4 linked regions of the Notamacropus eugenii genome follow. The protein of the gene in region 4 purifies or fractionates together with the protein of the main gene of each other region. This does not show direct contact. Links are inferred from orthologs where the notes say so. Each region holds a gene or a part of one and is shown on either strand. Other genes may lie near its edges. The genes, in order: PTPRU, TCTN2, SLC9A6 and CLGN.

Evidence for each region.
Region 1: the proteins of CLGN (region 4) and PTPRU purify together in Homo sapiens (affinity purification with mass spectrometry; 3 studies listed by BioGRID and IntAct, with this or other methods). This does not show direct contact. The link is inferred for Notamacropus eugenii from reciprocal best matches to the Homo sapiens genes CLGN and PTPRU.
Region 2: the proteins of CLGN (region 4) and TCTN2 purify together in Homo sapiens (affinity purification with mass spectrometry; 3 studies listed by BioGRID and IntAct, with this or other methods). This does not show direct contact. The link is inferred for Notamacropus eugenii from reciprocal best matches to the Homo sapiens genes CLGN and TCTN2.
Region 3: the proteins of CLGN (region 4) and SLC9A6 purify together in Homo sapiens (co-immunoprecipitation; 3 studies listed by BioGRID and IntAct, with this or other methods). This does not show direct contact. The link is inferred for Notamacropus eugenii from reciprocal best matches to the Homo sapiens genes CLGN and SLC9A6.

The regions. Positions count from the first base shown.
Region 1 is NC_092876.1:70,423,297-70,431,104, forward strand, and holds the start of PTPRU (receptor-type tyrosine-protein phosphatase U), read left to right. Parts: upstream 1-4,789; 5' UTR 4,790-4,905; coding exon 4,906-4,978; intron 4,979-7,808.
Region 2 is NC_092875.1:38,956,562-38,963,542, reverse strand, and holds the start of TCTN2 (tectonic-2), read right to left. Parts: upstream 3,018-6,981; 5' UTR 2,859-3,017; coding exon 2,762-2,858; intron 1,098-2,761; coding exon 990-1,097; intron 695-989; coding exon 618-694; intron 1-617.
Region 3 is NC_092879.1:57,255,528-57,263,044, reverse strand, and holds the start of SLC9A6 (sodium/hydrogen exchanger 6), read right to left. Parts: upstream 3,005-7,517; 5' UTR 2,929-3,004; coding exon 2,601-2,928; intron 1-2,600. UniProt on the Homo sapiens protein: Endosomal Na(+), K(+)/H(+) antiporter. Mediates the electroneutral exchange of endosomal luminal H(+) for a cytosolic Na(+) or K(+).
Region 4 is NC_092877.1:137,228,102-137,235,819, reverse strand, and holds the start of CLGN (calmegin), read left to right. Parts: upstream 1-4,701; 5' UTR 4,702-4,820; intron 4,821-5,109; exon of another isoform or gene 5,110-5,201; intron 5,202-7,718. UniProt on the Homo sapiens protein: Functions during spermatogenesis as a chaperone for a range of client proteins that are important for sperm adhesion onto the egg zona pellucida and for subsequent penetration of the zona pellucida.

The sequences.
Region 1 (7,808 bases), on a different chromosome or scaffold from region 4:
CAGTGTTATTGTGGGGAGTTTCTCTCTCTCTCTCTCTCTCCTCTCCCTCTCTCCCCACTTTCTCTCTCCATGTTGTCTCCCCTGATAGAATATAAGCTCTTTGAAGGCAGGGACTGTTTTTGTACCCCCAATGGCTAGCACCATACCTGGCATGTAGTAGTCACTGAATAAAAATTAATTAATTGATGGATGGATTGCTAACCCATTGCCATGGTACTCTGGCTTAGCCCATGCTGCCTCTGATCTCCTCCTAGGACAGTCCCAGAAGCAACTTTCTTGTGTCCTGGCATCTCTCCCCCTAACAAACAAACTGAATTGATGGTACAAAGTTTATCTGGGGTTATGTTTATGTTACTGGTCCCAGCCATGTTTTGTACTCTTGTCTCAGACATGAAAATTACCTCTGTATCCCCAATTGCATCAGTGTGGTTATGGCCCCGGCTTGAACCCTAGTAGCTTCTGTCTTGCTGTGCTACTTTGGAAAAGTCACCTTTCCTGAGCCTTGGAAGTATGGATAATCCTACTCCCTAAGGGGGGGACAAATAGTACAATGATCATATAGGCACTTGAAGCTTTTTGGGAAAAGTTCCATGGGGAGGTGAGAGGTTTTCTTTTCTTGCAGCATTATAGTATAACTAATAGTGCAGCCTTACATCACGGTGGTCCTTTACAGGATTCAAAGCATTTTCACCTACAGTAGTAGCTCATTGGATTAGCTGAAGTGGTATTGCCTGGAGATTTCTGACATCGGTGCTTTCCCACTGGGAAGGATGTGGGCTCTTGGGAAGGAGTAAACAGAGACAAGAACTCAGCGCTGTTCAAGCACCCCAGCAGAGGGCCTTTGAATGGCCCCTCACAAAGGGACCCAGGGGATAGGAAGCAGTGCTGATCTTGTTATCCCTGCTTTACAGATGAGTTTGATGGAGTTTGTCTAGGCCAAAGCCATGTTTATGTATCAGCACCAGGAGAGGTTAAGGGTCTTCTGGCCCACAGCTACAGGTTGTTGTTTGTTTTTCATTTTTAAGAGGTCCAATGACATCATGGGGTGATGTCTTGATTTGTGAATAAATTAGATTTAAGTGAGGCAGAGTTGCACGAAATTGCCAGCCTGACTAGCTCTTCCAGAATCATCAAAGTCCAGGGTCACACAGGGTCACACAGCTGGACAAAAGTCATTGATTGGTGACGGCCTGGGATGCAGTGGATGACCTTGGCACATAACACCTGCTTCAACTGCTTTCATGGTCATTGGAACAAACTGTTCTCATCCGCCCATTCCACTGAAGTTTTGGGGTAGACATCCCCCTAATTCACTGGGTGGTTTTGGAGGCCCATCAATTACCTTCAATTTAGTCTAGTCTGTCTTCCCAGAGGTTTACCTGGGTGTGTCCAATGAGTATACTACAGCTTCTTGGAGCCACTGGTGAGAGCTAGGTGAAGGTGGACACCAAAGGTGGATGAGCAGTCCTGAAAAGGGTATGCCCTCATGCCAGAGGTGCTGGTCCTCCTGAACACCCCTCCCCTCAACTCCATAGCCCACAGTTACATAATTAGTAAATGGCAGAAGGTGGGGCAGGGCTGAGGTAGGGAGGGGGAAGAGTGCCTCCAAACCAGGTCTTCTTACTTCCAGTACTACATGAAAATTAGAGCTATCCCAGAGAGCAATGGGCTGCCTTGGGAGGTAAGGATAATAGTATTTGTATAGTGTAGGAGTGGGGAACCTGTGGCCTCAAGGTCACATGTGGTCCTCTAGGTTCTCAAGTGCAGCCAGAATTCAGTCAAGGACTGCAGGCTCCCCAATCCTGAAGGGCTTTAAGGTTTGTAAACCACTTTATATAAACCTTATGATAACCCTGTGACTAGGTGCTATCTTACTGATGAGGAAACTGAAGCAAATGGAGATACCTTGCCAGGAGACCCATAGGTAGTAAATATCTGAGGTAGGATTTGAATTCAGATCTTCCTGACTCCCAAGTCCCACATTGTGCCCATCACAGGCAAGAGGCTGGATGACTTTTTTTGGGGGTTGTTGTGTGTGTGTGTGTAGTATGGACTAGAAGTGTTCAGAGGTCAATTCAATTCAGCAAGCCTTAATGAAGTGCTTGCTGTATACTAGACACCAGGAGATAACAAATACAAAAATGACAGTCTTTATCCTCACATTCCTTCTAGTGGAGGGAATCAACATGGAAATAGAGAAATATAAACACAACGGATGCAAAATAATTAGTTTTTGGAGGTGGGAGGTGGAGGGGTAGCACCAGCAACTGGAGGAATCAACAAAAGCCTTTTTTAGGACTTGATATCTGAGCCCAGGCTTGAAGGGAGCTAGGGGTTCCAAGAGGCAGAGGTGAGGAAGGAGAACATAGTTTGGGCAAAGGTGTAGAGGTGGGAGAAGGAATACTATTTTCTGGTTAAGAGAAACAATAGGAGTAAACAAAAGTCCTTGGAAAATACCTAAAGAAAAAAATCATTCTTAAAAAAACCAGACAAATAAGAATGACAGATTAGGGAGCCTCAGATATGCCAATTTGGCTGGAACTTAGAGCTAATGAGGGTAAGGAGTATTGTTCCCTTCTAAAGCTACTCTAAGATTTTGAGACTCTACACAGTACCGTACACTGTCTCTAATGCCCTAGACTCTTTGCCTTAAGGAGGCCAGAAACCAAGGGCTCTGGACATTAGGCCCCTCTCCAAGGCCTTTGCCCTGGGCACTAGTGGCTTGAATTCCATACAGAGGTATCTAGAGAATACTAACCGCAGTTCAAGTAAACAGTCAGTTGCCTGAGGGACTGCTAGGACTCTAGCGTCCTGCAGAGGGAGACACCACTGATTGTAGACTGTTGAAGGAATCATAGGCTTTAAAGCTGGAAGGAATCTTAGAAAGCATTCAGTGCAAGCTTTTCATTTCATCGGTGAGGAAACTGCAGGCCAGAGACTTTGTGAATTTCCCAAGATCTCAAAGACAGCAGCAAAGAGCAGTCACTTTCTCTTAGTAGGGTAGAGAGATTATCAGGAGGGCTATGGATGGTTAGCAACTGCCTGGAGTGTAGCACAGGAATACATGTATATGTGTGTGTCTGTATATATGTATACAGACACAAACCACATATACATATATATATACACATACACATATATACACATATATATGTATGATATATGTATATGTACATATATGCATGCAGTATTTGCAATTCCAAAAAATTATTATTATTTTTGTCAAGGGAATTTCCCCTGCTCTCCTCAAGCACCAGGGCATAGTAGAAAAAAAAATGATGGTTTTGAAATCTCAGAATTTGTGTTCAAAGTCTTACTTTCACTTTCTACCTGTGGGGACCCTGGGTCTTAGTTTATTCAACTATAAAATGAGGGGATTGGACTAGCTGACCTTTAATACCCCTTCCAACTCTAAGTCTATGATCTTACATATTGTGTGATCAATCAAATCCCATACATTTTTGGGGAAAGTGTAAAGCTTCCATCCTGAATATATCCTTTATGTACCTAGTCCTTTGCATGCTACTTCCCCCACTGGACTATGAGCTTCTTGAGAGTGGGGTCTGTTTTGGCTTTTTTTTGTATCTTCAGCTCTTAGCAAAATACCTGGCACACAGTATGTGATTAATAAATGTTTGTTGACTGATCACATGCATATTTGAGGGAAGATGGAAAGGATATTTGAGTCAAGATGCCTGAATTCCAGTTTTTAACTGTCCTTGGCTGTGGGACTTTGGGCAAGTCATTTCCTCTTCTCTGAGGTTTAGATTCTCCATCTATAAAGTGATGTGTCTGAGTATAAGATCAATAATGTTTGACATTGTATTTTAACATTTTATATACTAAGTCTCCTTACAATTTTAATGTTATGTGCTTTAAGGTTCCTAGATATGCCATTTTATGGCTCCTATTTTATGGCTAGGTTACTCCTAGCTCTGCCATTCTAAGTTCTAAGGGGTCTTCCAGCTCTGACATTCTCCATTCTAACATTCTGTCTAGTTTTAACCTTCTGTGTTCTAAGATCTCTCCTAGCTCCGACATCCTGTGTTCTAAGATCCCTCTCAGATCTGACATTCTACAGTCTAAAGGCCCTTCCAGTTCTAACATTTTAAGGTTTAAGATCCCCTTTAGTATCTGCCATTTCATGATTCTTTGACGTTTACTTGAATGGGAACCTTATGGTCCTCAGGGCCTTGTGTATGATCTGACAGGTCTGACAGGTGACTGTTTATATTCTTCTACTAGGGTATAAGGCTCTCTGAATTTGTGTAGGGTTGAAAGTATGTGTATGAGTGAGTGGTTTGTGGAAGGCTGCTTTCCTAGGTGTGCTGTAGAATACGTGTTTGAATGTGCCAAGAGGATAGACCCGGTAAAAGGGGCTGCGGAGGGACCAGCTTCAGGTCCTGGTGCTGGTCGCATGGGACAGTGATCCCAGGGTTGAGTGCCTCAGTGACCCAGAAGGGAGAGTGTGTACAAAACCAAGAGTCTAATGGGATTCCGGACATTTTAACTGACCGGACTGGAGAACGGTGGGCGCACCAGCGGCTTAGGATGCCCCCGTATCGGTGCCGTTCTGTTGTTCCCAGTTCCGTGGCCCTAGCGGTGATTCGGGGGTCGCGGCCCTCCCCCTCTCACTTCCCTGCGGGTTGTGGGGTTCGCAGTCCCTGCCCAGCTTCTCCAGACCTCCGCACTTCCACACAAGGACCGGCAGGAGGCGCCCCCCACCTTTGGAACGCGAGGCCGCTGCTCGGGCTCCTGACGTCAGGGCTCCGGCTCCGGCTCCAGCGCCCGCTCCGGACTCAGTGCCAGTCCCGGCTCCGCTCCGGCTCCGGCGGCTCGGGAGGCTCCGGGGTTCCGGTCTACGCTCCTTCCCCGTGGCCCCGGGGCCCTCGAGGGTGGCGCACGATGACCGGCGCCCAGGCGCTCATCCTGGCGCTCACCTTCCAGCTCTGCGCGCTGGAAAGCGAGACTCCCACAGGTAAGAGAACTGGATCCCCCCCCCCCCCCGCCGGGACTCCCCACCCCCTCCCCGGGGGCCCCGCTTCCCGAACCCCAACTTGTGACCCGGGACCCCAAGCTGGGGACCCTTGGACCCGTGCACCTTGGGGCAGATAGGGCTGCGCAGCAAGGAAGTATGTGTGAGTGTTGTATGTGTCTGTGTGTGCGTGCTGAGACTGTGTGTCTGTGTGTGTCTCTGTGTGTGTCTGTGTTTGTGTGCGCGCAAAATGGTCAAACAACTTGTTTGTGCTACGCCCTGGGCTCCTGGGGGCCCGGGGCTCGGGCCAGGAGGGCAGCTTGGCCTGGAGGGGGTGTCGGCCGGCCGCTGACACCGACATGTTGTGGGTTGCTTTCTGTTGTTTCGCAAGTTCGGAGCGGCTCGCTCCGGAGACGGAGTCGAGCTTCGGTCAGCGCCCCGGGGCTCCCGGTCCATCGGTTTACACTGGCGGGGGGAGCTGGCGGGAACGTAGAAAGGGAATCTGGCCGGGCCTGGGGGCTGGAGGGAGGAGCCGGGCCGGAGGTGGGGGGAAGAGAGAGCCGAGGGGAACTGGGGAGGGGGGAGGGGGAGGGGGGAGAAGGAGGGAAGGAGAGAGGGAAAAGGAAGGAGGGAGTGGAGACGGGAAGAGAAGGCAGAGGGCAGCGAGAATGGGCAGAGAAAGGAGAAGGAAGAAAGGGTCGGGGAGAAAAGAGAGAGCGAGTCAGGAAAGGGGGACCTGGGAGCCAGAGACATCTCGGAGGAAGGCGGAGATGGGGAGAATCGAACAGACCGCAGAGGAGAGAGGAGGCACTCGGGGGAGAGCGGAGCTACTGTGGCCTGGCTGGGGCTGGTGGGGAGTGGGGGGTGGAGAAGGCTCTCAGTTGGGACTCAGGAGGGAGAGCCCGTTGGGAAGCCTCCGAGCTCGCCCGGCCTGGGAGAAGAGCAGCCGGGGTTGGGAGCAGGTTTCACCCGGGGGCACGTCGGCAAGTGCCTGCTTTGGCCATCTCTCCCCCCTCTTTGTCCTCCTGTCCCCTCTCGGTGATGCCCGCTCCTAGGAGGGAACAGCCTCAAGGAGAGGTCAGACTGGGCAGCGGATCCCTAGGGACCCTTACCCCCGCCGACTTCGTAACTTTGTACCCGGGTCTTTCCGCAATCCGGCACAGGTTGTGTCTGAGTGTGCCCGTGTGCGTGTCCGTGTGCTTGTCTCTGCGTGTCCCTCTGTCTAAGTGGCTCCTGTGCCTCTGTCCGTCCGTCTGTGTGACCCGTTCTTTATCTGTGTCGCCTTTCTGTCTGTTGTTTCCGTCCATCTGAGCGTGCCCTGTGTCTGTCTGTGCCCGTGTGTTTCGAAGTGTGTCCATTTCACAGTGGGTGTAGCGTGAGCCCAGTATGTGAGAGTGTGTGTGTGTGTGTGTGTGTGTGTGTGTGTGTGTGCGTGTGCGTGCTTGCTTGAGTGCGTCCGTCTAGTCCATGCCAGTGTGTGTCTGCCAGTGCACGATGGGGGGAGGGACACCAACCACGCCGGTCCTCTTCTCCCGGCCTGGGAGCACTTGGTCTCTTAACCCGGTGGAAGTGGAGGAGCGGGGGCGGGTGTGCCAAAAGGTGATGGCTCCGTCCCCCTCCAGTAACAACGCAGGTTCGCAGAGGGCCATCATGACCACGTCTTCCTCCCCTTTCGGGCTCCCGGGCCCCTGTTTTCCACAGCAGTTTGACTTAGGGGGCCCTGAGGCCTCTAGTGCCGCGCCCCGCGTCTGAGCTCAGCCTGGAGAGCCGAGGACTGACTTGGAGGCTGAAGGAAGGGAGCAGACTGCACCTTGTAACCTGGGGGAGGCCTGGATGATGGGGAGGGAGCTCCTAGAAGGGTTATCCCGGGATGATTCCTGGAGGGGCAGAGGTCACTGCAGCCCTGACCCTCGGCTGGGGTGGCCTCTGGATGTCTCCAAACTCCGCTGGAGAGATTTCTTTCCGCTCCGGTTTGGTGGCCCCCACCTCAAACCCAGACTGTCTGGCGCCTTCCTGTCGCCCATCACAACAGGACTCTGTCGAGATCTGAACTCGAAGAGCTGAATTCCAGTTTGGGTTTCCCAGGATGGCCAGTAACCTTTTGGGCCTAAGAAGGGGAGGTAGCTCCCAGCTGCTCCTATGACCCCCTTGGGGGCTCTATGGTTTCTCCGGAAAATAGATTCCCCCCATCAGCCAGTTTAATGTCCTGTATCCTGGAAAGGGGGATCCTTCTAAAGGACCCTGGATGGGGGTGGGGAGCAGGATCTCTTTCCTTTATTTGGGCAAGTCATGAATTTTCATTGGCCACCTTTCTGTGTACCTCTCCCCTCCCCGATCTTAGTTCCCACCCCACCCCCCAGGGTGGGGCCCTGATCACAGCCTTCTCTAAACCCCTCCTGATTAATAGAAGGTTCAGTCCAACTCCATGAACTGAGGTCATTTGTGCTGGGGGAAGGGAGCTTTGGGTCCTCATAACTGAGCTCTGTATGGTCCTGGGCTCTGAAGCGGAGAGGGAGGGGACCGGTGGCAAGGGAGTGGTGGGATAGCATTTCCTACTTTCCCTCTTCACCAGGTCTGGACTGGGGAGGAGAATGTTTAGAACTCCCGCTGTTCCAAGGACTGGGGTAAAAATGGTCGAGGTTGGGATAATAGACTGGGTTGTCTCAGGAGGCAGAGAGCTAACCCATCAGAGTCCAAGCTGGATGCCCACTGGCTTGGGATTTCTGCATAGATAAAAGCCCAATTCCCTGACCTCTGAGGACCCCTGACTTCTTTGAGATAGTGTACATCCTGATTCCTGGGGTCAGTGTAGACATCTCAGCCCTTGGGTGCC
Region 2 (6,981 bases), on a different chromosome or scaffold from region 4:
CAATCTACTGGGGGTAAGGAGGAGATCAGAAAGTAAAAGCCAAGCACAAAGTAAATGCAGAGTAATCTGGGGAGGAGCTGGATGGTAGGAACTTGCTGGAGGGCTCCACTGAGGAGGTGGTACTTGGGCTCTGCCTAAAGGAAGCTAAGGAACCTGGGAGAGGGAGGGGAGGTAGGAGCACTTTCCAGGTCGGGGGCTCATGTCTTAGCTGAGAAGAGGAAGGAGGCCAGGCTGGAGCAAAGCAGAGTAAGTAAAGAGAAGTCAGGGACAATAAGCCAGAGCACAAAGGTAGCAGAGGAGTCTGGAGTTTATCCCAGAGGCAACAGGGAGCCTTGGAGCTTGCTGAGGAGGGGGTGACAGATATGACCCTAAATGGAAAACGAAGGGCGGCAGGTGGTGCACTGGATAGAGCTCCATCCTGAAGTCACCTCAGACACAGCCTAGCTGGACCAGTCCCTTCACCCTGTTTGCCTCAGTATCCTCAGCTGTCAAATGAGCTGGAGAAGGAAATGGTAAAGTACTCCAGTATCTCTGCCACGAAAACCCACAGAGAGTCTGAAACAACTGAAACAATCGAATAACAAATAGAAAACGAAGAGATTTAACATTGAACATACCATATCGGGAGTCACGGTCAGACTCCAGTTACTGGTCCCATTATTCTGCAGTCCACAATCAGGAATGGGCAAAATCCCTAAACAAGAGGAGGTAAGACCAGAGAATGTTCTCATTCTACCTTTACGCCCTCAGAAGGTTTAAGGACGTTCTCCTCAGAGAGCATAACCTTGCCTTGCAGCTGTCTCTGAAGCAGAAAGCAGCCCCCTTCCCCTTTGCCCATTCTCCAGACTGCCAATTCTGGAAGTCACAGGATCAGACCTTGGAGAGCCAAAGGCTGAGGGAGTATTCCCCTTCCCCCAAGGGCAGACTGGGCCCGAAGCCCTCTGTGTTTTCAGTAGGTTTTCCCAAAGCCAGCTGCTTAGCCTCCTTACCCAGCTCACCATCCCACACAGCGAGGCTCACACTGACATCCTCAGTATCTCCAACCAAGGCTGCACTAACCGAAGTATCAAACATTCGAATGAAAGGAGGGAGAAAAACTGGCAAAGAGAAGAGTCAGGCGTTAATACCACTCATGTAAGGACCATGAGGAACCCCTGAAAATGAGACTTAGAGCTTTATGGAACATGAGAATCAAGCAACCCCTCCTAAGCATGTGCATGCAGGACTGCAGGGTTAGGGTCAATAAATAACAAACATTTATTAAGCGCCTATTGTGGGCCAGGGACTGGACTGAGAGGAGGGGGGGATACAAAGAAAGGCAAAAAACAGTGCCTGACCTCAAGGAGCTCAATCTAATGGGTAAAACAAGAGCAAACTACTCTACCATATAAGATACAGATGAACAGATGAGAAGGAATCTCAGAGGGGAGTCCCAGGAGGCAGGCACTGGGGGACGGTCACTGTAGGTTGTGGCGATTTTCCTTTGCTCCAATGCTGGCAGCAGAGGTGGCCCCTTGCTGGGAATAGCCTAGTCCTGGGACTTTACTCCCTTTCCCACATCTAGTCTCTGCAAGCTACAAGGATCTCCTCAGGATCCCATAGCCAGGAAATGTGTGAGCAGGATTTGAACACATATCTTCAGGGAATCCTAGATCTGGAGCTGGAATGGACAGTAGGAGCTATCTAATCCAGCCTCCTCAATCAAGAGTGGAGGAAACCCGAGGCCCAGGGAAGTTAAATGATTTGCCCAGACTCATAGAGGGAACAACATCGCAGGTGGATGTGGACCTGGGTCCTTGAGACTCTAGAGCAGTGATTCTTTACTTGGACTCTGTGAATTGGCCTCTTTAATAGATTGGTAATTATTTCAATATAATTAGTTTCCTTTGCAATCCTACGTATCTTATTCCATGCATTTAAAAACATGGTTGTGCCAAAGAAGTCTGGGGCAGAGAGGTGGTTAAAACCCCTGCTCTGAGCTGGCATTCTTTTCACCAGACTCCGTATGGCTCACTCTCGGGACATGAGGTTGCCCATTGCCTGGTACGGACAGTCAGTCACCCAGGCACTCTTATTCCAAAACTAAAAAAGGCTTCAGCAGGTGCAGCTGTGGTAGCTGCTACAAAAGCCTAGTTCGAAAGTTAGCAGTTATTTAGCACTTTTTATGTTACCTCATTTTAATAATAATGATACCTGGCCTACGTGCAGTGCTTTAAGGTTTGCAAAGCACTTTACAAATAATCCCTCCAGGTTAATAATCCTTATTATCATTAGTAAGAGCTAGCAATATATAGTGAGCAGTTCTATAGGTTGGCAAAACGCTCTACAAATATTATCTCTAAAGAATAATAACAGCTAGCATTTATACAACGTCTTAAAGTTCGTAAAATGTGTTAAGATATCTCATTTTAATAATAGCTAACATTTTTATAGAACTTTAAGGTATTGCAAAGAGCTTTAAAAATATCTCTTAAAATAACTGTTGTTGAGACATTTTCAGTTATATCCAACTCTTTGTGACCCCATGTTTTCTTGGCAGAAATACTGGAACGGGCTGCCATTTCCTCTCTAGCTCATTTTACAGATGGGGAAACTGAGGCAAAGAGGGCGAAGTGACTTGCCCAGGGTCACACAGCACAGAGCTGGTCTGAGTAGGGATTCGAGCGCCCCCTCCCCCGCCCACAGCCCCGCCCACAGCCCCGCCCACAGCCCGCCCATAGCACAGGCCCCGCCCCCTGCCCGAAGCTCCGCCCCTACCCACCAACGTCTCCCCACAGGGCCCTTGGGAAGCAGAGAGGGAACAGGAGCAAGAGCCAAAGCTGCGGGGCCGATGGCGGGCAGGGCCCGGCCGGGCCCATGGCTCCCGGCTCGCCTCCCCGCGCTGCCCCACCGATGCCAGGGCCTGGCTCTGCGATCCCCGGCAGGCGGCACGAGCTAGGGGCGCAAAGGAAAAGGCGTCAGCCGCGCCCGGCCAGCCGCCGCTGCCATCTTGTCAACGGAATGCCCAGGACTAGGCAACCGCCAATCAGCTGCAAGCGAAGAGAGCGCGCCCCACGATTGGTCTAAAGCGACGGAAAGGACCCGCCTTCCTTCCCCGCCCATTAGCGTCACCTCGCGGCCCCGCCCACCTCCTCCTGGGAAGCCCTAAGTGGGTTGCATAGGAGCTTGGTGGACGGAGCTCTTGGCAAATATGCATACTTATGTGTCTTCTATATATAGTTATATTTTAAACTATATTGATATGTCACATATGATTTATATGTATATTTATATAGAATAAATATCTATTCATATGTATGTATATGATATATATGACAACGTATAACAAATATAAACAAGTAAAAATAATAAAAATGAGATATTCGTAAAGATGAGATAAAAAGATAACGACTTGCAACAACGCACGCGTTTGAAAAAAACTGTAAAAAAAGTTGTATAAATGCTTACTCCCTCTCTCAGAATCCCTGGTGCTTAACAGGTTCTTGTCTCCATAGTCAACAATTCAGCTGACTTTTTATTATAATAAAGGATAATGAACCTGTGATTTTATTGATAGAGAGAAGTCCCAGGTGAGGAGATCCCTCGCTACTTCTCCACAATGTATAGTCTTGTTGAGTTGCTTAGAATACAGAGAAGTTAAATGACTTGGTCAGGGTTATACAGTCTGCACATGTCATTGGCAGGTTTTGAACCCAGCTCGAAGACCAGTTCTTTTTCCTCTATGCCACTTATTACAATACAGAGCCTAATAATGCCTTGTATTTAGGCAAGTCAATATGTATTTGTTAAGCACCTACTATGTGCTTAATTGCGCTAAGTGCTTCAGATATAAGAATTTATCAATAAACCCCTATGAGCTGTAAATTATGATTATGTAAGGCCTTAGGTTGGGAGCTGCTCATTTCTTTCAATATTAGCCAAAGGCATGACATGTCTTAGTTATTACATCAGAATGTAACTCTTCTTTGCCCAACTGTTGCTTCATTCGGTTAGAGGAGGCATTGGGAGATACAGTCTTTAAGACAAGTTATGGGTAGCCATGTTTGGCTCCACCCATCCCCACCACTCTCTTTACTCTCTCATAAGGAGCCCCTCATTCTTGGACATGGTCAAAACTCGAGAGCTAAGTTACAGTCAAAACCCAACAAAAGGAGGAATTCCTATAAATCTGGGTGACACCCACCCAGAGTAGATTTTTCTTTTCCCTCTAAACACATTGGTTGGTAAGAGGAATTTGGCCTGTGATTGCTCTAGGATTAAAAGTGTTTGGCTTGACCTCTTATGATTGAGGCAACTGTGAGCTCCAATGGGGGGGCATTCTCCAACCAAAGTCAACCAAGCAGGAACTAGGTACTCTCTCAATGCTCATCATTTGCTCAGCCAGCTGTGACAGCCTGCACAGGGCTAGGAGGGCTTTAGTAACACCAAGAAAGACTGGAATCCTAGGAATAAATCTAGAATCGACAATGGATGCCAAGCCAGGGATCCCTGCCTCTTTTTTATACAGAAATGTCCCTTTCTACTCCCTTTATCTTTCTGACCTGATGGCAGCATCAAAGGCAGTAGCCAACACTTTTCTCAAGAAACAGAAAACTCTTCTCTGGGTAAGATGGATACAGAGATTGGGGTATTAAGACTGACCCAAGAGGACCAATATAGTTTATGGTGCAAGTCTCGAAAATACAAAGAAGGAGGCAAAATCTTAAAAAAAACTTTTAGAGGGAGGACTGGACTATGATGTCACTGATATTGGAACTCCCACTAACAAAATTCCCTCTCCCATATAGTCTTAGAGAGTTGCCTAGACTACTGAGAAATTAAATGACTCAGGGTCATATAACTGGTATGTCACTTGGAGTTGTATGTCACATACAGTTGTATGGCACCAAAGCAAGTTGCCTGGAGTCATGGAGCCAGTAAGGTCTTTCTGTCTCCAAGGCTGACTCTCTCTACCATCTCTATGCTACCCTTCAAAACTCCTTTAGCAATCAATCAATCAACATGTACTAAGCACCTACTATGTGCCAGGAACTGTGCTAAGCACAGGATACAAAGAGGCAAAAGAAAATCCTTGTCCTCAAGCTTACAATCTAATGCAGTTTTTTAAATAGATTTTTTAATGAAGTCTTTGCATATACCTATATCCAGGAATCCTCCTGTATTCCTTCCCCTTGTCTTTCCCAGAGAGCCATCCCTTGGAGAATTTTTAAGACAAGGAAAAAAAGGAAAAGAAAAATAAGCAAAACTGGTACATTGAAAAAAATCCGAGGTTATATGCAATATTCCAAACCCATGGACCCCCACCTCTGCTGGGGTGAAGGGAAAAGATTGTCATCTCTTCTGTCCTCTTTGGAGCCAAGAATTACAAAATTCTTTGTAATTTTGCAATATTCTGTCTCAATTGTTTTCTGGATATTATCCTTTCCATTTACAATGTTGTAGTTTTCTGGCTCTTTTACAGTTTACAGAATTTCATGTTGTTTATTTCATCACACATACATCCTTTCATGTCTTCCTATGCTTCTCCGTATTCATATTGTCATTCCTTACATGTTATATCATGTAATAATAATCATATTATATTCATGTACCGGGTACCAGTCCCCACCAATGGGTGTCTACTTTGTTTCCAGTCTATGCTGTGAACAAAAAGGGATGCTAGAAATATTTTGCTGTGTATGGACCCTTTCTTTTCATCAATGACTTACTTTCTTGGGTCTGTGACTAGCAGTGGAATCTCAGGATCAAAGAAAATAGTTTTTAGTCACTTTATTTGCATAATTCTACATGGTTTTCCAAGATGTTTATGCCAATTAACAGGTCCACCAACAATGTCAGTGTGCCTGTCTTCTGTAACACCAGTGATGTTGTTTTCTATTCACATCTATCCATCTTTGGGTGGAAGATGAAACTTCAGGGTTGTTTTGATTTTCATTTCTCTTATTGGTGATCTGGGGCATCCTTTTATCTGCTTTCTAGTAGTCTGTAATTCTTCTTTTGAGAACGGCTTTGTTTGAAGAATATGTTTCCATATCCTTTGACCACTTTTCTATTGGGGAATGCTTTAACAATTTAAATTTGTCTCTATGAGACAGTGTGTTTCATGACTAGAGTCCTGAAGCTAGAGGCAGGAAAATCTAGGCTCAATAACTAGAATTGTGTTAGTTGTATGACTATGGGCATACCACTTACTCTCTCAGAAGCCTGACTCCCCAACTGTCAACCAGGAATAAAAATTCTTACCTCACAGCTTTATAATGAGGCTCAAATGAGTAACTAATAACCCCAGAGTTTGTCAAATGTGCTCTGGGTTTGGGGGCTATGACAAAAAATGAAAGTGTCTGCCCTCAAGTAGCTTAACATTCTGTTGAGGGGAGACAAAAAATGTGTAAATACAAACGTCAGCTTTCACGTGCTGGTCCCCAAAAGGTAAAGTCTTTCAATGATCAATTAGTTTTCTAATTTATACAATGGATCTGCGTATGTTAAACACTCTTCCTTCTTCAGCTATGCATGCATGACCTATAGTGCAGTTGTCCCAAGTTTTACAACAATTCAGTACAGTAAATAAAACATGGGCTTAGCATTTCAGTTACTGGGTACATGATAATGATAACAGTAATGTCAAAATCATAACTAGCATTTATATAGCTCATTTGTACAAAGAGGTCGCAATAGTACTTATCAGGGTTGTGGTGAGGATAAAATTATATATATATATATACGTGTGTGTGTGTGTCTATATATGTGTATATACATACATACATACAATAAAGAGAGAGCACACTTTACAAACCTTAAAGCTATATAAATGCTATTATTTTTATTATTGGAATCCATTCTAGGTCTGGGGGACAAGCCTATGCAAAGGCACAGAAACAGGTGATGAAACGTGGTCTCATCCTTCTCAAAGCAATATTAACCATTTTGGAGTTCATGGATGAAGATTTATCCTGCTCAGTAAATTAAGTGAAATAGGTT
Region 3 (7,517 bases), on a different chromosome or scaffold from region 4:
ACAAAATACTCAAATGCTTAGATTTCTAGGGTGTGTTATGAACAATCAGCTAACCATATTTGTTTATATAAATGCTAGTTTTCACAAAAAATATTCTTACTTTTTCAAAGCAAAGAGTTAAAGGGTCCCTCCCCTAAATAGTATTTCTAGGATTCAAACAGAAAAATTGACTCCAAACTAGGGAGAAAAAAATCAGTGGGTTCAATCTTAAAGCTTGGAGGGTGGGCATGAAGGGAATAAACGTGCCAGTAGTTAAGATGGTAGGAGAGGAGCAAGAAAAAACTGGGAAAGATACTCAATTGCATTAAAAGAAAACCCCAAACCAAACTTACTCTGTGCAGTGCTGAGAATCTGAAATCTTTTTACAACCTCTCATCCAGGCTCACACTATCCCTTTGAGACTGAGAGGTAGACAAATATCACTGATCCCCCATTTTACATACTGAGAAACCTTGAGAGGTTAGCAAGTAATCAAAGAAAAACTGTCGAGGGGGAATAGTCAGTGGAGAGCCCTACCACATTTGGCATGGACTCCTGTCCCTAGCCCAGACTGGAAAGTGACCCCCCATCTTTTAAGGCCCAGACTAGGTGGCACCTCAGGGAGCCTTTCCTGAACCTGCCAGCACTCTGGTCCTCTCCATTGCACTTCAATACAAATTAGGAAGCTCTTTTTTACCTGCCTTCCATCCCCTTAAACTTTAAAAGGGTAAAAAACCTAGCCCTAGCCCCTCTTTCTCTCCTCCAGCTTTGAGTAATGCTTGTTGATGAAAATTGAATTAATGTTCTTACATTAGGCAACATAAGAGGAAAAACGCAAAACAGAGAGAAACAGAAGTCCTTTCCTTGCTTCTTACTTACTCTGTGTCCTCCACAAATGCAATAATTAATCCTTTCAACTGAAATTCTCTAGCTCTGTGAGCTTAACCATTTATCCATTTAGCAAAAGTTAACAGTGACCCACCTGGTTTGTTTTTTTTTTAATGCAACATTTTAAAACAATCAGAGAAAGATTTTATGCTTCCAACATATAAGTGAGCATTTATAGCATCCCTTCTAGCCTAACCTAGGAAATCCAGTCCTCCTAAGAAGGAAAAATTTGGCATATAGAACCTTATGACACTGATGTTTGTATGTGTGTGTATTCAATCTGTCCTGTTAAATGGACTGTAGACTGTCCAAGAGTTTTGGGTTATTTCCTACGTCTAGCACAGTGTGGGTACCCAATAACTGATAATAATGATAATGGAGATTGAGTATTTTAGCATGATGTATAAACCCAGATATCTAGAAGATCATTTATTTGGGTAAAAAGATTAAAAGTGAAAAGATACAAAATATGCAACAAAAGGGAGACTTAAAAATCTTAGACCGCACAATTTCTAATGCTTTCTACATGACATTCATGCATCAGATCCCGCAGTGGGATTATGCCCTCGGGAGTCTTTATAAAGGAAAAGATAATTTATAATGCAAAAGTCTGCCGAGTTTCCAAAGCTATGATGAGTTCCAATCTAAGAAAATCATTACCTTGCAAGTGAAAATGACTAAGGGTGTGTGCATTTTTCTGAAACTCACTGAGAACTACCTTTTCTTATCCTCCTTGAGATACATACTCAGAGGTAAACACTTCATGAATGGAGTGGCTCTTTGGGAGCCAAAGTCTTCAACTGACTTCGAGTCTGAGGCAAAGGGGCAAACATTATCGGGCTCCCTGCCACAGCCACAAGTGAGGAAAAAAAAACAATCTCACCTGTATGCTGTGTAGAAGGGATTATTCGTCGACAACGATTTCTTCAGACATAAGCAAAGACACATATACACAGTGATCACCCAGTGGAGTCATCTTTGATTAAGACAGTCGGCAATACCTCTCTAGAGGGCCCCAGTTTAGGAATGAGATGGATCTGTGTCTCCCAAGGGGACTATTTGCCATTACTTCCCTCCTTACCCGTTAACCAAAAAGAAAAGAAAAAAAAAGACAGACTAGAAAGCCATTGAAACCACTTGTAAGGGGTTAATAATCTTATGACTGAGGATGTGTAGTGTTTATAATTAGTTTTAGATTAACCGTCTTGATCACTCTGTAGTAACAACCGTCCTGGGAAAACTTTTAACTCTTTCGTTAGCTGACTTGGGACAACCAGAACCTCCGACGTGGGATTCTAACAAATTCCTACTAGAATGCAGCCAACAGGTTGTTAAGGAGACGCAGTTAATTGCTATGGATCAACAACAGATCGGTTCCCCAAGGTCCCGTAGCTTTAAGTTTGACCACCCGGGGAGAGATAAAAGATGTGCCCTTCGTCCGCCGCGAGGGCAGAGAGCTGAGTGGGTGCGAGAAGACAAGTAGAGGTCGAATCAGTTTTTCGGAGAACACCAAAAACTGACAAGGGGACTCCTCTAGCCCAGATCTCCACACAGGCAGGGGAACCCCGATGCAATTTCAAAGAGGCTAAGAGAGAGGCGCGTCTCCCCCACCCCACCCACCCCCCTTCACCGGTTGGGCAGCCCTCCTCCCCGGGGTCCCCAAGAAGCTGCGGTCCCGGGACGGTCCCCGACCGAGGGGTGGGCAGGATGGGGGGCAAAGGGGAGGCACTTGCCGTAGATCATGGCCAGGCCAGTCTCGTGCAGGAAACGGGCCCGTCGGTGTTTGAAGAGCCATATGGTGAGGATGGTGAGGGTGAGGAGCAGGATGAAGATGAGCAGGTTGGCGCTGTCTTGCCGGTGGCTCGCCTCCGCCTGTTTCTCGGACACGATCTCCTCCTCCATGGCCCCTACGGCTCCGGCTCCGCCACCGTCCTGGGCACCCGCCCAGCCACAAGCGCCAACAGCCAGCAAGAGCCAGAGAAGCCGCCCGAGCGCAGGGCTGCGGGAGCCAGAGCTGCCACTGCCGCGCACGGGAACCCTCCGCCAGGCGCTCAGTGCCATGGTTCCCCCAGCCCCAATGCCACCGCATCCGCCCCCCGAACCAGATGCCGTTTGTTGTCCCCGGCCACTCCCAAGGGCTCATGGGAAGAGGGGCGGAGACACGGCAGAATCGGCCCAGCACAGGCTGACCGAGCGACCGCCCACTCCTCGCGGCCGGAGCTCTTAAAGAGACCGCCACGGTACCGGCCCCTACAGCCAGTTGAGTGGGAGGAAGGTCATTTGATCCAGCCCCCTGCCTCTGGGAAGGGCGGCATCTCCCCTATTGACGCCATACCTTACACTCCATGGATTAATCACCCATTGTTTGGGTACCAGCCAGCAAGAGCCACAGTGATATCATTTCCCGTACAGACCCCATGTACATGGAAAAGAGGCAGTGTGGGCCAATAGACATTGTTTCTGGTTCTGGCCCAGCCTTCAACACTCCATATGACCTTGGGCATGTCCCTTCCTATCTCTGGGACTCCATTCCCTTCTCTGCAAAGTGAGGACAAACTGGAAGATCATAGTGTCAGAGCTTAGAGGTCATCTAGTCCAGCTGCCTCATTTTACAAGGGGGGAAACTGAGGCCCAGAGAAGGAAAGTTACTTGTTCGAGGTCACACGCTTAGCAAATGAAAAAGGTATCATTACAACAACATGCCCACTAGCTCCACTACCCTAAGGTCCCTTCTAGCTCTTACATTCAATCAATATTAGAAAGATTCCACCACCACCACCACCACCACCACCACCCCATGGAAATTCACAAATATATTTTCCATCATTTAAAGAATTATTTTGGGAAGCTCAAGATCAATTTCATGAACCCTCCTAACAAGGAGGGCTGCCTTGGAGTAATCATAATAGCTAACACCAGATCTTAGGATCAGCTGGAAGGTACCTTAGAGATGAGTCCAATGCCCTCATTTTATAGATGAAGCAACCAAGGCACAGGGAGAGGTTAAATGAGCTGTCCAGTGTCACAGATCTAATGAATATCTGAACCTAGTTATTCCATATTCCATGTCCACTGCCCTATTCATCATCCTCTTCAACTGCCTCTTCCACATTATATAGGGCTTTAAATATAATGTCTCATTTGATTGGAAGGTAGTGGATTGATCTTAACGGGAGGTCTTTGTGCAGAAATGGGATAAGCAATTATTGGTGGTTTCTTGTTTAGGCCCAGGTTGGACTAGATGGTCTCTGAGGTTCCTTCCAAACTCTGAGATTCTTTGATTTGCTCAAGGTCACACTGAGAGTAAGTGGCAGAACCAGGTTTCAGAAAAGGTCTTTCAGTTCTACATCCAGATCCTCTTTCTACTATATATAGAGTTCTCTACTAAAGGAGTGGAGGCAGCTACGTGAGGCTGCACTGCATAGAAGGCAAGGCCTGGAGTCAAAAGCACTCATCTTTGTGAATTCAAATCCAGCCTCAGACATTTCGTAGCTGTATGACCCTGGGTGAGTCACTTAATCTTGTTTGCCTCAGTTTCCTCATCTGTAAATGAACTGGAGAAGGAAAAGGCAAACCACTCCAGTATCTCTGCTAAGAAAACCTCAAATGGGTCACAAAGAGTTGGACACAACTGAACAACAACAATGAACATAGTTGTAAGACCTTCTACAACAACCAAAGGAATAAACCTAAATGCTAGTTTAAGGCCACAGGGTAGAGAAACCAACCAAAAAGTTACAACTGACACAGCAAGTGCCTAGAGGTACTACTTCAAAACAATGGGCACAGAGAGTACTGGAACAGACCAAAAAGAAGGAGGTTCCTTCAAAATGTAGCCCAAGGTCTCTAGAAGAGAAGTAAGCTGGGAGTGCTGAGTCAACTAGACCACCTGAAGTTCAAATGAGAAGTAATTCAGAGAAGAAAGAGTTTTCAACTGTAAGCATAGGTATTTAGGGAACAGCTAATCAGGAAGACCTAAGTCCAAATCCAGCCTCGGACACTTCCTAGCTATGTGACATAAAAGCTGCCTGCCTCACTTTCCCTAACTGTAAAGCAGGATCAAATGGGATAATATATATAAAGAGCTTATCAAGTGCTTACTATATGCAAAGCACAGGGCTAAGCTCTGGGGATGCCAAAAGAAAAGTAAGCCAGTCCCTGCGATCAGGAGCTCAGTCTAATGGAGGAAAACAACAGAGATTTAGCTGTAAGTCAAATGAAAAAGTCCCACTTTCCTTAGGGTGCAACAGCAATGCAGATGGTAATACTTCTCTAAGGTCATTTCCAATGAAAATATACCAATTTCTGATGTTGAACCATTTGATGGGGCCAAGGACTTTGGAGGGGAGAATATTCCCTTCTGTGCCTCCACTATCTGTATCTGTTATATAGCCATTTCAGGGGCAGTAGCCAGGCTGCCTTCCATCTAGATTGTTCCCCAAGATGGTAGCTGAGGGCACTGAACTAGAAGCATTGCTATTCCAAAGGTTCAGGGTATGAGGGGAGAAGGCGGTCAAGGTGGTAGTAGTGGGTTTGACTTTCCTGACACATGCTACTTCCTGTCTCTCCCCCAGGGGGGCTGGCTGTTTCAACTACATTGACCTCCCTATCCTGTATGGGACAATTCCTTGGCAGTTAATGGGGATGAATGGTCCCTTCTCCACAGGAAGTTGCTTCCCAGGATAATTGTTGAGGGCTGGGCTGGAAGCAAGAATGGTGGTCTCGGGCGAGGGGGGAGGGTGGTGCTGCTACTCTCAGGGCTCTTAAGTCTTCTGTTGGTGACATTTAGCAGCTGTTGCTGTTGGTGAAGAGGAAGGTGGACCCCTCTATACTACATTTCTCCCTTCAAGAGTGGCTATGGGGGCTGGGCTGGAAACAGGTCTGGTGGTTTGGAGAGCACTGCCATTTCCAAGGCTCTTAAGCCCAGGGTCCTGGGCTGTCTCCATCACGTGATCAAAGGGGTGGTAGGCAGTTTGACTTGCCTGGAATATACTGTCTCCTTTTTTCTCCTTCAGAGTGCCCAGCCATTGTTATTATTTATTAGTATTATCATTAGTATTATTAGCCAGGCCTAGGATCAGACCCAAACTGAGTTCATGGCTAGGGGATAGAGAAAACTCCCCCAGGGAAAGAATCAATAGGAAAAAAGGTAAAGATCAGAGAACTCCCAAAATTAAAGGTAAGGGTTGAGGAAATGAATTCCTGAAGAAATTTAGCAAAATAAATGTACTGACTTGAGACTGAGAACTGTTTAAACTTCCAGAAAATTAACTCTGAGAGCAAGATTAAAAGTAGGGAGTCAGAAATACAGTTCCTGAAGACTGATAATGAAACACACTCCCCACATCCTGATAGAGAGAGAATGGCCTCAGAAGGAGACATAGATGTTTTGGACATGGCCAATACAGGAATTTGTTCTGCTTGACTATCCATGTAACAGGGGTTTGTTTTCTCTTGCATTCTCAACTGGGGTTGGGGAGAGGTGGAAGAGAGAGAACGCAGACCTGAAAATACAATGAAATGGAATTTTTTAAAAAGTAGGGTGATAGTAAGAGAGAAGGAAGTATTTAATTAGATATTTCTTGGTTCCAGTGAACATGTAGGAAAGGAACTATAAGGCCTCTGGCACATGGTAGCTCTTCAAATACTTGAAGTCAGCTCTCATTTGGCACTGTATTATTATAATACAGGAATAGATGGGGCACAGCAAGGGAGGTAAGTCTCCCCAGAATCAGAGGAAGTGTAGACCCTGTCAGGGGGTTGTGCTTCTATTCTGGGCTGGACCTTACTCAGTCTTGATATTAGAACAGACTGAAATGCTCAGACGTCATTCAGCAGTTAACAAAAGATTTACTTAGCTGGAGTAGAAGACACCACATGGACTCTGCTGAACTAAGTTCCTTTGCTGATATTGCCCACTGTTTTGCCCACTTGAAGTGACTCAGGTGACCAGGAAGTGATGTCACCATCCCAGGCCTTTAGTCTCCTGAGTCAATCAATCGTCAAGGAAGTTCAATCCTTTTTAAGGAAAAAAATGAGTCTTACTTCCATAGAGGCAGGGTTAGATATTTTTTCCACCACAACTTTCTATAATCTGTTCATTTAATGAAACAGATGGCAAGCCATCCATGTCTGTCCATTCTGTGAGACTCATAAGTTTGCATGGATCCATCATGCTGAGGGCCTTCCTCCAGTTCACCTGACATCATGAAGGTACCAGTGGAACTCTCGGGCTATCAGTTATCTCTCCCTCTTGCCACATGGCCCAGTCCATCTTCCTTTAAAATCATATATTCCTTTGAAGATATCCTTTACTTTTCCTGCCTAATTCTTTGTAATGTGTGTTTTGCTGTTGCCCCTTGTGAGGCCCTTAACTTCAGTTCTATAAAGACTAGAATATTCCATGACTCCAAGTCACATGATAACACCAGAAAAATGTCGATATTTTTAAATAGAGGCCTTTATTTCATAGGGAAACTTGGGATCAGTAAAAGTATCAAAAGAATCAAATCACAAAGTATCTGAAGTGGGAGAAGATACCAAAGATGTAAAAAAAAACCTCATATATTATTACTACCAAGAAAAAGGCAAGCAAGAATACATCTTGGAACCTATAGGCCTGCTTTCCCATCTATATAGAATTGTTATGA
Region 4 (7,718 bases):
AGTCTCTTTGCCAAGAAAATCCTAAATGGGGTCACAGTCACATGACTGAAAAAAGACTGAACAAATGTCTTAGTGTACATGTAAATTAGATTTGGTTGGTTGGTTGTTGTCCCTCGTTCTTGAAGAAGACCAAAATGACATCGTCATGATAAAGTAAAATTTCAGTGTGAACAACTATGGCTGATCAGACCAATATGAGCTTGGAATGTTCTACCATGGATTGGGCACAGATCATCTATATGAACATTTGATGTGGATACTCCAGATTTCTGCATCCTATGTTTCCTTTGTGCTGTCTCAATTCTGCTTTGCTCATAGAGCACAGTACCCTTTCTGATGTGGGTATGCTGAGTGGTCACAGTCAAACCCAAAGTTCTTGAGAGAGACCTTTACAATGTCTTTGTATCGCTTCTTCTGACCACCATGTGATTGCCTATCCCATAAAATAGTTGTTTTGGCAAGAGTACATTTTGCATTCAAACAACATGGCCAGCCCATTGGAGTTGGGCTCTCTGAAGCATAGTTTGAATACTTGTCAGTTCAGCTCGAGCAAAGACCTCAGTGTCTGGTACCTTATCCTGCCAGGTGATCCTCAGAATCTTCCTAAGACAGTTCAAATGGAAGTGATACAGTTTCCTGACATGGCAGTGACAGATTATCCATGTTTCACAGGCATACAACAATGAGGTCAGCACAACAGCTCTGTAGACCTTCAGTTTGGTAGTCAGTCTAATACCTCTTCTCTCCCCAACTTTTCTTCAGAGCCCCCCAAATACTGAGCTAGCTCTGGCAATGTGTGCATCAACCTCATTGTCAATGTGTATATTCCTGGAAAGTACACTACCAAGGTAAGTGAACTTACCCACAGCATTTGAAACTTCTCCATTTGTTGTAATTGATGGTTCCACATATGGATGGTGGTGGCTGATGGAGCACCTGTGTTTTCTTGGTGTTATTAGGCCAAAACTAGCATAGGCAGCAGAGAATTGATCCATACTTTGTTGCATCTCAGCTTCAGAGGTTGCATTGAGTGCACAATCATCTGCAAACAGAAAATCATGCACCACTACTCCCTCCCTTTTGGTCTTGGCTTGTAGCCTTTTCAAATTGAGGAACTTACCATCAGCATGGTAGTTGATGCTGATGCCATGTTCATCCTCATTGAAAGCATTTGACAACATGGCTGAAAACATTATGCTAAAAAGCATGGGAGCAAGCACACAGCCCTGTTTCACTCCACTGGTGACTGGGAAGGCACAAGAGCTTTGTCCATTATCCAGAATCCAGGCAAACATGCCATCATGAAACTGACGTACAATACTGATGAATTTCTCTGGGCAACCAAATTTTGACATAATTTTCTATAAGCCCTCATGACTAACAGTGTCAAAGGCCTTGGTTAGATCTACAAGTGTTGTATACAGACCTCTGTTCTGCTCCTGGCATTTCTCCTGGAGTTGTCGGGCAGCAAACACCATATTGACTGTTCCTTGGCCCTTTCTGAAGTCACATTGGCTTTCATGTATATGACCATCTTCCACATGAGGGCTCAGCTTATTAAGAAGGGCTCTAGCAAGAATTTTGCCAGCAATGACTAAGAGACAGATCCCCCTGTGATTGCTGCAGGACAATCTATTCCCTTTACCTTTATGGAGACGAAAAATGGAAGCATCCTTGAATTCCTGGGGGATAACCTTCTCTTGTCACATAACCTGGAAAATTTCAGTCAGCTTTTGTATGAGCAACGGTCCCCCTACCTTGTAAATCTCACCTGGAATAGAATCAGCACCAGGTGCTTTGCCACATGAAAGGAGCCTATGGTCCTCAAAACCTCTTTTTCAGTTGGAAGTTCAGCTAAAGAGGGATTGACTACAACCTGAGGTAAACTGTGGAAGTGTTCAGCCCATCTCTCTAGGATCACGTCCTTAGGTTTGGTAGAATAAGTTTCAAACCTAGACTCTGAAACCTGACAAAGGAACGCATATGTATATATATGCACACATATATGTATACACACATGTATTTATTTCCCCAGCGTGAGAATCTGCATTTTCTGTTAAAGGCAGCAATATCAATTCACTATTAAAAGCCTGTTTATAAGTAATATAATTTAACAGGCATGTGGTACACCAAAGATTTATATAAGTAGATAGTTTCCTGCAAATATACGTGTGGCAATGTCTGAATGCGTTCCTCTCCCAAATTCTAGTAAGGACAAATAAAAACTTTAGTAAAAATATAATAGCAATTACATATTACTAGTTTCTTTTACCACAAATTATATTAATTTAGATTTTTCCAAATGGGGGACGGAGATAGAAAGATCAGGACAGATTCTAACACAGAAAATATGCAAAATACAGTAAATTATTCCTATAGAAATAAATACATTCAACATAAATGCCCACTAAGACAATCCTTCTTGTAATATGTGAGAAGACAAAACAGTAGCAATTACATCATCTGCGGCAGCCAAAACTTATTAATTTCTAATGCTTTTCCCTTCGAACAATCATTATTTCTTGAATTGGCTGGCACATACAATGACGATTCAGACAGGACTCTTGCTAGTGGGAATTTCTCATAAGTTTACTGCTGATAGAAGTGGATACATTATGGAAGAAAAATACATAATTTGACAAAGGCCATTACTTAATGTTGTTGGGAACAGGAAGAGGAATAAAAAGTGGCCATCAATCATATACTAAGTGGGATATCAGTTGAAGATAACATATCACTACTTATAGTACATGTTATGAATACAATTTATTTTAAGAATTTATTGAAATAAAACATTTACTTTTATACAAGATCAACAGAACACTTTCTTTACAATACTTTGAGAGGGGTAGTACAAGTTTTATTATACCAATTTTGGCAAATTCTGATTTTTTTTTCCTTTACTGAGTGGGAAGAAGGAATCATTTCAGGTCAATTCCACTAAAAAGGTACCTCATTGCTTCCCTCCCTGTCCCTTACCACATCCTGCTTCTTGTGTATGGTGTGCCCCATGTCTGACCAAGCTCTAAGCACCTCACACCACCTGCTTCAGCCACCTTCATGGCCACTGCAACAAATTGTTCTCATTTGCCCATTCCACCAGGGGAAGTCTCTGCATGCTTGGGGTAGACACTCCCCCTAACTCATTGGCAGTTTTGAGGCTTTCTGGCCATCCTCAACCTGGTTTTTCCTCTCTGCTGACCAGGCTACTCAATCTCAGTTTCCTCTCCTGTAAAATGTGAATAATTGTTAACTGTGGAAATAAGATAACCAAACGTAGAAGTGATTTCACTGATAGAACAATTCGCTTCAACAACCCAATTCACAGTCATCTAGGTTCTTTCAAAAACTGGACAGACAGATATCTCACCCAATGTCTTACAGGCCCTTCTCCATCTCTCCTAAAGTTGACAGGGTTGTCCACTTGTCATCCTTCATTCTTGCCATACGAACAGCCTATCTTCTCTCCCATCATAGGGACTGGGATTTCATTGGTTTGGGGAATTCCCACTTAAGCGAACTTCCTCTACCAACACAGCCTGTTCCTTTCTCTGAAATGCAGAGCTGCCTAGAACAGTGTGAAAATCAGCTAGAAACAGAGCGCCACTAAACCTTCCCCGGGATCCCGGTAAGCTCCCTCCTGGTTGAGTTTCACAATGTGGTATTATGTCATTACAGTTTGTTAAATATTTCCCGATTCTGGCTGTGTCTGGCAGCGCTGTGGGTCACGTTGCCTGCCTCTCGTTTGACACCTCTAGCCTGGAATACTTAAAGTTTAAACGGCCTGGTCAAGCCAGGTTTTCCTGACTTTACGTGTATACGAGGCGGCTGGTGGCACAGTGGATAAAGCCCTGCGCCTAGAGTCAGGAAGCCCAGAGTTCAAATCCAGCCTCAGACACTTGAGCAAGTGTTTGCCAAGAACCTCTCAGGCCGGCCCTGGTGTGCTGGACCTGCCCGGAAGGTCCATCAGGGAACCTCAGATGCCCCTCGCTCCAGCCCCACGACACCCCTGACAAGCCCGTGCCTCAATGCCGCCCCGGAGCGCCCCGCTCCACTTTCGGACGGCTCTAGTTGTTAGCAAGCGTCCGGCATTCCTACCCAGGACGCCGGCAGGAGCCCAGGCCTCCCGGGCTGCTGAGCCCTGCGGACGGTTCGCTGCCCTCGGAGCCCTTCTCGGGGAGGCCGCAGAGCGCCTCCCCGCCCCCATCTTCTCGGGTCCGACATCCTCAGGGGCTCCAAAGGCGCGATCCAAACCCTGGGTCCGGGCGGTCCGGAGCCTCCCGGTGGCGCTCACTGCGAAGGCGGACTCCGCAGGAATGCCCCGGGTCAGCCCCGCCGCCACGCTTCCTCCGCCACTTCTCGGGACCATCCCGGGCCGGAGCCCCCAGGAAGAAGCGGCGTCCACGCATTCTCGTGGGTGAGCGTGCTTCCCACGGCGCGCCGCTCCTGCCCGAACTGGGACATCACTTTTCCGAGCCTGCTTCTCAGGCCTCGGGGGACGTTCGCGTCTGCTCCGGGGCGCTCCCACGACCGCTCGCACGGCCGCCAGGCAGCAGCCCGAGGGACTCGGGAGCTGCGGGAGAGCGCGTGCGCCAAAGCCCGTCGGGGCCCGTCGGCCCCGGGGGGCGCTCCCCCTCCCCCCCGTCCCGAGGGGCGCGAGCTCAGGGAGAGCCGTCGCGTGCCGCCGCTCGCGCATGCGCCGTTGGCAGAAGCCGTGAAGTGGCCGGCGGCGACTTCGGTTTCGTGGTGGGGTGACCACCCTGTGGCCGCCGGCCGGACGGGCGAAGCGCCGCCACCGAGGGCCCCCGCCCCGAGCACAGGTGCGTGACTTCGGCGGGGCGGAGGGGGGGACGGAGCGGCGGGCGGGGCGGGGGCGCAGGGGCGACGTCGGAGTTGTTAGAGGAGAGTCCGCTGGGAGCCGGGAGACGGGGGGAGGGAGGAATGGGGGAGGGGCCCTCCTGGGCCCCGGCGAGGGAGGAGGGCTTGAGTGCGCCCGGGGGGCCGGCCGGGCTCCCCCGCCGCCCCCCGCCTTTGCCTGGGACGTGAGGGGAGGGGGAGGGGGAGGGGGAGGGGGCCGGCCGGGGCTGGACGCGAGTCCGTTATAGCGGCGGTTACCATCTCCCGCCTCCGTGCCCGGGCGTTGGGCGCTCGAGCCCCGCGCGCCCCCGCCCTCGGGAAGAAGCGCGCGTCCCCGGAGCCAGGTACGCGGCAGGACGGGAGCCCCCACGGCGGGGGGCGGGGCGTGGAAGGGGCGCAGCCCGCCTGGGATCGGGACCTAGCCGGGGTCTGCTTGGCGCCGGCGGGGCGGAGACCCCCGGGCTCACCCTCTGAGGGGCCCGCCTCTCTGGGCCTTTCGTCTTCGCCGGCCCCAGGAGAGACTGGGGCTGGACCGCCGCGCCCCTCCCCCCTCCGCCGGGCCCTCGGGGGCAGTCCGAGCCCCCGCCGCAGGGCCCCCTTCACCCCCGCACCTTGTCGGCGCTCAGCCCTCGGGCCCGTCCTCTCCCCGGCCGGCGGCTCCGGTTCTGGCGTGACCCGGGCTCGGCGACCCCAGAGGCTGAGGGGGAGGTGCCTGAGTCCCGGCGCGCCCGGGAGAGTTCACCCTAACTTTAATCAGTGGCTCGAGTTAGGGGCGCGCCGGGCAGGAGGCGGCCTGCGGGGGGCGGTCCGCCCGCTCCTGGAGCCGGAGCCACGGTCCCGGGGGAGGGGCCGAGGGGCCGCTGCGGCTCGTCTGGGCTGACGTCGTGGGGTTAGACTCTAAGTCGGGGACGTTCTGTCCGGAGGAGGTGGCGGGCTCTTTGGAAGTGCATCGCTTGGTTTCAGCACTGAACAATTTTCTGTGCTTTTTCATTGCAAAATTAAAATTAAGTTACGGCAACCATTGCGACAGTACCTTGACAGGTGTCTGCTGAGACTGAAGATCTACGACTTGGTGATTTGGGCAGTTGTTGGATTTTTTTCCCGCGCTGTTGTTGGACTGAGTAACATGTTTGTTTTATCCATCCCCCCCTAAAGTACTTGTATCCCTTTTGAGAACTTTTTATTGATGAGTTCTTCCTAGCTCTGGATTACTTGGGTAGGTTCCCGTGCTGCCTCTTATAACTTATTTATTACCCGAATGACCTTGAGTAAGTCCATTCACCTCTGTAGAAGACTTTCTGAGAAGCCTTTTTCTAGTCCAGATCCATGGTCCCTTTGAACATTTTAAATAGAGTGAAAAGCTCTGCTTAGTAAATATTTATGAAATAAAAAGAAGCCGAACATGTGAGAGTGGACAAAACAGAGACTAGAAATAGTTATAAATATTGGAGCAAAAATCAGTTAACTCAGTGGCTGGCCAAATGTTGAATCATTCACGGAGTTTGCAGTTACAAAAGCCAAAAATTCTGTGACTTTGAAAGTTTGACTTGGAGATGGCGTTTTAGACCCATTGTGATCATGGTCCCTGGCTTGTGAGGAGGTGATTACACAAAGCATTTGTTTTATCTCGCTAGTTTACTTTGACATCCGACAATTCAGTTTATTTCCATGCGCTCATTTAAGGACAAACAGACCCTTTTTGTGGTAGGGTCCCCGGATGAAAAAAACAACTGATTATTCCTTTAGACGTTATCCTGGTGATCTTATCAGCTTTATTTTAATAGCCACCCTGTCTTCATGTCAGTAGGTTCGTGCCTGTTGTGTGACACAGTACATCTAGCAATCTCATCATCATGAATATTTGACATGCACAATGTCTTCATGTTTGCAAAGTGCTTTACATACATGATCTCATTTGAAGAATACCTCACAACTCTGAGTTAGATTTCTAAATGTGCAATATAGGGACTTTCTTTGCTGAGGAGAAGGCAGGATGAGAACTAAAAAGGAGGTATTGGGCCTAGTGAATTAAGGCCATTGTTGGGAACAATTTCAGGAAAGAAATGGTAAGACCAAGAACTTGAGAGTAGTGAGGCTGCAGGGACAAGTGTAGATGTGTAGACAACTCTTCAAGAAAAAATAGTAGATATGTGGACCTAGAAGCCAGAAATATTCCAATTCCGCCTTCAACATTAACACTTGTGTGACTCTGAAGTTTGTAAAAGGGGATTGTGTTTGCAGAAAAAAGATTATAAATGAGTTCTGTTTTAGACATGGTCATTTTGAGATATCTATGAAACATCCGCTATTGAGATGTCCAGAAGGCAGCTGGCAGTGGAAGGAGACTGGAGCTCATGAGAGAGGTTACTGCTGGGTATGTAGATATATGAATCATCTCCTTAGAAATTAATTGTTCATTGAACTCATGGATATCATCAGGCAAGATAGTGGAAGAGAAGACAACCAAGGACAGAGCTTTGGAGTAGCGGGGTGAGGGGGGAGAACCACACTCATGGTTATTGGGCATGACCCAAATGAAAATTCAGCAAAAAAGGTCTCTGGGAAGGAAGAGTTAGGTAGGTAGAGAACCACAGGAAAAAGTGACCTGAAAGCCTATAAGAGGGAAGAGTATGCAGAAATAAAAGGATGATTAATGACGTCAGAGGCTGCAGAGAGCTCAAGAAGGACATAGATTGAGAAAAGACAATGAATAGATTTGTCATGTAAGACTGTTCAAATCTTTGGGAATTGAATGTTGAGGTAAGAATGAGATTGCTCAGGGTTTTGAATCTATTGGAAGGAAAGGAAGTTGAGACAGCATATATAAACAGCATTTTCAAGAAGTTTAGACACCTCCTTTG